Caenorhabditis elegans: one gene and its partner. The protein of the gene in region 1 interacts with the protein of each later gene in a pairwise test. Each region holds a gene or a part of one and is shown in the gene's direction. Other genes may lie near its edges.

What was found.
Region 2: the proteins of ced-10 (region 1) and swan-1 interact in a two-hybrid assay, tested with the Caenorhabditis elegans proteins (one study listed by BioGRID).

The regions. Positions count from the first base shown.
Region 1 is NC_003282.8:3,507,774-3,511,527, reverse strand, and holds the start of ced-10 (Ras-related protein ced-10), read left to right. Parts: upstream 1-2,000; 5' UTR 2,001-2,034; coding exon 2,035-2,139; intron 2,140-2,419; exon of another isoform or gene 2,420-2,569; intron 2,570-2,927; coding exon 2,928-3,019; intron 3,020-3,286; coding exon 3,287-3,472; intron 3,473-3,754. Other genes in the region: tsg-101 (Tumor susceptibility gene 101 protein), read left to right, coding at 43-336, 924-1,054. UniProt on the Caenorhabditis elegans protein: Required in engulfing to control the phagocytosis of apoptotic cell corpses. Required in embryonic development for the correct positioning and orientation of the mitotic spindles and division planes in blastomere cells.
Region 2 is NC_003283.11:13,805,557-13,809,310, reverse strand, and holds the start of swan-1 (WD_REPEATS_REGION domain-containing protein), read left to right. Parts: upstream 1-2,073; 5' UTR 2,074-2,099; coding exon 2,100-2,372; intron 2,373-2,830; coding exon 2,831-3,037; intron 3,038-3,081; coding exon 3,082-3,189; intron 3,190-3,238; coding exon 3,239-3,374; intron 3,375-3,429; coding exon 3,430-3,754.

The DNA.
Region 1 (3,754 bases):
ATTTAATCCGAAAAAAACCTCTCAAAAATTCTCAATTTTCAGGCACAAATAGCGCAGAAATGGCATCAATCCGTACGACGAGCGACGAGCTTCGTGAAGGACAGCAAAAGCTGAAAAGAATGCTCGAAGAGCTCGAAACTCAACGGAGCAGCCTTCAGACCGCCTGTGAAATCTATACGGCAAAGAAAGCAGAGCTCGCGAAAGCTCTTTCAGACGCTGGAGGCACTGATGCTCCACCAATTGATGAGGCAATTGATGCCGCTTTTCCGTTGCACCGACAAATTGTGCTCAATTATGCGAAAGATTTGACATGTGATGACGTCATTTATTCACTTGGTATGGAACGAAAAGTTGGGAAAAATTGGAAAAATCTAGCTGGAATTGCTCAATCCTGAGGAAAATGTGCAAAAATTGTTTTCAAAAAATGCAGAAGTTGAAAATTAAGAAAAACTAGTGAAAATGTTTCAAAAAAATTAAATTAAAGTTGAGATTTTTCGAAGTTTCTGAGAGATTTGAAGCCAAATTAAAAGCGTTTTTCTGAAATTTTTCAACGATTTCGTCTATTAGCACTACTACAAATCATTCAAAAACCCCCGAAAAAAAACAGAAATTAGTTAAAATTGACTTTAAATTCTAGAAAATTCACAAAAACTACAAAAAATTGGAAGTTTCTGAACAATTTTCAGCCATTTTTACTCCAAAATTTTGTTGAAATCGTTCAAAAATCAGTTTCGGTTTTATTTTAGCAAAAGTGTTTTTTTTTTGCGGAAATTTGATAGAAAAATTATTGAAAATGACTGAAAATTGGAATTTCAGCAAATTTTCGGTGTAAAAATTTTTCCGAAATCCAGCAAAAAAAAAAACGAAAAAAAATTATGGTATTTATGAGAAATTTTTTTTTTGCCTAATCTTCAAAATTTCAGGTCAATCACTGAAAAAACGCCAAATAACACTTGCCGAATACCTCCGCCATGTTCGTGACGTGTCCCGAGAGCAATTTATCTACCGAGCAACAATGCAGAAATGTCGACGAACTGCTGGTCTTCCTATTTAAAATTTAAATAAAATTTGGATTGAAAATCGTGGAAATTTTTGAGAAAAAATTGCTAATTTTTTGACCAAAACTGGAAAATCGTGAAAAATTGTCCATAAAAATGCTAAAAATTCGATAAAATTCTCGATTTTTGGATGAAAAATACTTTTTTCAATAAAAAGTGGGAATTTCAGCGATTTTCTGACGAAAAACTTAAAATTATTGCTGAGAAATCGAGAAAAATGCATTTTTTTAAAACGATTTTAGCTAAAAATTCCATATTTCATTTATTTTCCTGATGAAAAATTGTTTAACATCAAAATTTCGGTGCTTTTCCGTGATTTTTCAAGTTTTTTACATGTTTTTCCGTTAAAAATTCACTTAAATCTTCTAATTTCAGCCGAAAATTGTAAATTTCAATAATTCCCGTTAAAAATGATGGAGCTTCTATTGAAAATTACCTCGAAAAAAGCTTTCTTTTTTTGACGATTTTCCAGCCGAAACATGTAAATTACGACGAATTTCAGTGACTTTTTTGTCAAAAAAATTACGGTTTTCACTCATTTTTCCATCTTCTCATTTCAAAATTTCTCCCATTGCCGCCATTTTTCTCTAATACTCCCTTTCTCTCCGTCTTGATGCCCGTTGTGATTTGGTTTGTTCTCTCTCTCTCTCTCTTTTTTTCCGTTTTATAGACACAATTTTCTAGATTTTTCCCCATTTAAAATATCCAATTTTGCACCCATTTCCCCATTTTTCCCGGGGGAAAAGCTCGCTTTTCTCTCGAAATTCGATGACTTTTTCAGGTTTTTTGTTCATTTATTTTTTGTACAAAAATTTTAATTTAAATGTGATTTTTCCCCCCATTTTTTTCTGATTTTTTCGCTCAAAATACCGTGATTTTTGGCGGTTTTTCAATATTTTTGATAGATTTTTTTTGTTGCTATTTTTAAGCCAATTTTTCCAGCTTTTTGTGCTTGTGCTCGCGGAGCTCCCCACAAATGCAAGCGATCAAATGTGTCGTCGTTGGTGACGGAGCCGTCGGTAAAACGTGTCTCCTGATATCCTACACCACAAACGCATTTCCCGGAGAATATATTCCGACGGTGAGTCATTTTTAAAGCAAAAATTGAGATAAAATTACGTTTTTTGGCTCAGAAAATAGGACATTTTGACACAAAATCGAAAAAAAAAAACAAAGAAATTTAGGCAAAAAATATTCAAAATTGTTGTATTTTGATCCAAAAATCATTGAAATAAATATTTTTTTAGGCCAAAAACTGGGAAAAATAGTGAAATTATCAATACTGAAAATCGTGAACATTTTGATTTATAAAACATTTAAATAAAAAATAATTTAAATTAAATTTTTTTTGCTAAAAATCGTTTTAAAAAGTACATTTTTTTAATCAAAAAAATAAGTGAAATTTCACTGAAAAGTATGAAAATTAAAACTTCCGTTTTTTACGGAAAATCTAGACAAAAAACTTTTCAAAATGCGATAAAAAAGTTTTCTGCAAAAATCGTTTTAAGAAACACATTTTTAGCGAAATTTTGCTGAAAAATATGAAAATTGTCAACTTGTTCCCATAAAAATCAATAAATTAATATTTTTTATACCAAAAGCTGGGAAAATGGTGAAATTTCATATAAAAATTGGTATTTTTATTTGAAAAAAAAATGTCGAAAATTTCAAAAAACTTCAGTTTTTTTAAACGGAAAATCTAGAAAATTTTGATTCAAAAAACTTTTAAAAATGCAATAAAATTGTAGGCTTTTTGCAACAAAAAAATTGAAAATTTTGAAAAGCGCACAATTTCCCGCAAAAAATATGAAAGGTGTCTTCTTTTTCCCAAAAAAATGCTTTTTTCCCATAAATTCAAATTTTTTCCAGGTATTCGACAACTACTCAGCAAATGTGATGGTCGACGGTCGGCCGATAAATCTCGGGCTCTGGGATACAGCTGGACAGGAAGATTACGATCGGTACGGGCAGCGGGAAAACTGAAAATGCTCGAAAAAACTCAGGATTATGGGTTTTTTCAATAAAAAATTGCTCAGGATTATGTGATATTTTCCTCAATCAAAATGTGGAAAATATCACATTTTAGAAAATTTCATCCAATTTTTCATAAAATGACAGTGATTTTGAAGCTATTTTGTGGTGAAAAACTCGAAAAACATGGAATTTTTCGCACTTTGCACTAAAAATTACCCCAATTATCAATTTTTCAACACCAAAAAAATTTGCAGACTCCGACCACTGTCATATCCACAAACAGACGTGTTTCTCGTATGCTTTGCCCTGAACAATCCGGCGAGTTTTGAGAATGTTCGTGCGAAATGGTATCCAGAAGTGTCACATCATTGCCCGAATACGCCGATTATTTTGGTTGGAACGAAAGCTGATCTGCGTGAGGATCGAGATACTGTTGAACGGTAGATTTTTGGAGAATTTGAGAGAAAAATTGAGGAATAAAGTGAAAAATTTGTAGAAAATGATGAAAAATTGCCAAAAAATTCGAAAAAGCGCATAAAAATTCAGAAAATCACTTAAAAATTGAAGGAATACCGCCAAAACATTAGAAAAATCATTAGAAACGGCAAAAAAATGAGAAATAAGGAAAAAACGCATCAATTTCAGGAAAAAAAATTGCAAAAATTGTATGAAAAGTTGCGTAAAATAGCACAACATTCACATAAAATTTTGGAAAAAAATTT
Region 2 (3,754 bases), on another chromosome or scaffold:
TTTTCGGTGAAGCTTTTCAAAAAAGTTCTTGAGTTGCGCCAGTTTAATGCTGCCCATGATACAATTGAATTATCAAAATGAACATAATGAAAGAGACAAGTTTTAAAACTAACAACATAAGAACCTTGTTTTGTTAGTAACGAGTTGCTTTTAAAACTGTTATTAAAAATTACTGAAATTCTAATAAAACCGTTGATTCGTAGGTGCTCCTGAACAAATATTCAAAATGTGCAGGATTTTCTAAACAATTTCAGGCTCAGTCAGATCAGATTTCTTTTTGAATGGCTTGTTCCAGTCTTTACAGTTAATACTTCTAAATTATCAAGGTAGATTGTAGGGCAGTTTTACATAACTCTCACGGAGCTTCAGTGTTTTTAAAGTCAACTGGAACGTATTCTACGATCATCCAGATCCGGAAAACTTGCATCATAATGCACCGTTTCTGGCGTCATGTGCTCCTTGTAATTTCATTTTTTCTCTTCCACCTGCAACCGAGTATTCGGGGTCAACGTATCCGCTAGCCGCATTGCATGTCCGTCTAGCCGACCTCTGCGTCTCCATTTCTGCAAAACGAGATGGACAGACGGCACGTAACGCAGAGAATCTTTTCGTTTCTTCTTTTTTCATTTTGCTTCGCTCACTCACTCTCTCACTCACTCACACACGCACTCACGCAATGGTCTCTAACTCTCTGTGTAACTCTCCTATTTCTACCTACTACCTCGTCCAGTGCAGCTAGTCGGTGGCCCCCTTCGGTGAATAGACGAACACTGCACAGTTTACACTATTTGCATACTATCGATTGGTTACAATCTGCAACGCACTGTTTCTGTCTCTTTACATTCCTCCTAATTCCCTAATTCCATTGTTGCTCATTAGTGAACTAATGCGGGTATTCCCAGTTGACCACTAACTATTTTTTGCAAACTTTTCAATGTGATCTTTTGGATAATTTTCTTCTGTTCTTGTTCGAACTTTCATTGTTTTTTTCCAAATTGGAAATAGATTCGGAAAATGTTCGAAATTTGGAAAAGTTTGCAAAATAATTCCATTTTTATAATGTTAAATTGGAAAAAAAATTGTCCGAACAAAAATTTTCTCAGAACTAACTTCCAGTTTTTCTTCTTTTTTTTTATGCAAAAGTTGAATTTTGGTCCTCTTGACAACTTCGAAAATTACAATTTTTGTCCAAAACTTGCTACATTTTTTCAGCTCATTTTCCAATCAGCGTTACCTCCAAAAAAGTTCAAATCAAGTCAGTTTTGAATATCCAATGTTTGTCAAAAATTCAGAATGCAATAAACAAAACTATAGTATGTGATCAATTTTACTCCTCTAAAATTGTTTCTTTCTATTTTTTCGCTTAAATTAAATTTTCGATCTCTATGATTAGGCTGTCCAAATTTAAATTAAAAGTGTCGGCATTAATCTGGAATAGACTGAAATCCCAATATAGGAATTGCCCATATCTCGGTGTTTTGGACTCAATTTTCTTATACTTAATTGAATCTGTTTGTCGTTTACTTTTATGTTTTTGGTAGTGTGCTTTAAAAAACATGGCAATCGTTCAAGCTTTACAACTACCTGATTAGCATTTCTTTTCTGATTTATAATGTCATATCACATCAAAATGACCTAGAAACAACTTGATCTACCCCCCCCCCCCCCTGCCTTGTTGAAATAATCGAATCCCTTTTCAACTTCACCTGTCTCATTTGAGCTGCTCTCCTGCTCTCTACTGCCTTCTTTTCATCTTCAACATTCCACCACCACCTCCATTCCATTCGTTTTCGATTTAGTGTAACAAAGTGCGTTCTTCCCTCTCTTTCTCTCTTTTTCCCTCATTTTCTTCCTGTGTCCTTCTACTTTTCAATTTTATTTTTCTCGTTCTCGTGTTCCCTGCGTCTATTGATTTACCGTATTCTCTGTGATCGTCTTTTCCCTGGAACCTTTCTGTTTTGTCGAATTCGATTTGAAAACTACTACTCTCACTTTTTTTTCGCTCTTTCCCTCGTTCGCTTACTAGTTTCCAATTATTCTAATAATCCCCTCACGCAGTGTTTTATCTTGCAGAAACTTGTGAACCCTTATCACCTGCAATGGCTACCAATGGTCACGCAGTGAACGGAGAAGCTCATGTTATGCAACAAGTCGCACAACAACCAGCTCCACCAGGACCATTAGCTCCGCAAGGGATCGGAAGACAGAACGAAATTGTGATCGGAGGACGTGATCGACGTTGTGAGATCTATAAATTCACGTCTGATCAACAGTTGTATGCATCGGCATGGAGCAACAAAAATGATATCAAATTTCGACTTGCTGTGGGAACAGTATCCGACGTGTCCGTTAACCCATGTGCCGCAAACAAGGTGAGTTTTTGAAAAATTTGAAAACGTGTGAGTGGTAATGTTGGCCATAGTCAATAAGGTCCCATTTACTGAAATACCACAAAAAACGCAATTCTAAAAAACGGGTTTTTGCAAATTCTAATCTACTGTTTAAGTTGTCTACAAAATAAGAACTGCAAGATTAAACAGCGATCGTTCTTATTTTTGAGTTGAGTTATATTTTTGAGTCGAGTTTTACTATAGTTCAAAGACACAATTTAGAAAAACTGGAAATCGGAACAAATCGAAATTGAACTGTTCAGGTTTTAAACATAATTTTTGTCTTTCCTTTTGCGGTATTTCAGTATGTATATTAAAACATTTCGAATATTTTGAATTGAAAACCCTATAGACTGTACTCCAATGTAAAAGTTAAAAAAAAAAAAAACGAAATTTATATGTATTTTGAAACATAACAGTTCCAATTAAAACGTTTTCAGGTATCAATTGTACAACTAAAAGACGAAACTGGCGAGCTTGTCGAGACGGCGAGCTTTCCAATGGAGTTCCCAGCCAATGCAGTCGGTTTTATTCCGGATCCAGACAACGTTTACCCTGATCTCATTGCCACAACATCAGATTGCCTTCGCCTCTGGCGAGTAGTTGATGGAAAAGTTCATCCAGACGCAGTTATGATCAATAATACTGTACGTTAAACCTGTAAATTTTTAGTGTTCAATGGAATTTTCAGAACTCACAATATGGATCAGCTTTGACAAGTTTCGACTGGAACGAGCTGGAGCCGAGGTATATTGGAGTTTCCAGTGTAGATACGACTTGCACAATTTATGATGTTGAGGTGAGTTATAATTTTGATAAGATTTAGTGAAATGTTTACAAATATTCAGGTTGGTTGCGCAATTGGGCAGACCAAGCCGACAGCTCCATTCACACTCAAAACACAACTGATTGCTCATGACAAGCCTGTTCACGATATCGAATTTGCTAAAATCAATGGCGGTCGTGATCATTTTGCAACTGTTGGTGAGTCTTGTCTAGCTAGTATTTGCATCTTTTTATAAACATTACGAGTTTCCAGGAGCTGACGGAAGTGCCCGAATGTTTGATCTTCGACATTTAAACCACTCGACAATTGTCTATGAAGATCCAAACAAGGAGAAGCTTCAAAGACTGTCATGGAACAAACAAGAACCTTATTTCATGGCTTTATTTGCCGAGAACAGTCAAGAAGTTCAAATTCTTGACATTCGTATGCCATGCAACATTCTCTGTCGACTCCGTAATCACACTGGACCAGTGAACGGAATTGCATGGGCCCCACACAGTCCACATCACATTTGTACTGCTGGAGACGATTCACAAGCTCTGATTTGGGATCTGCAGCAGGTTCCAAGACCCGTTGA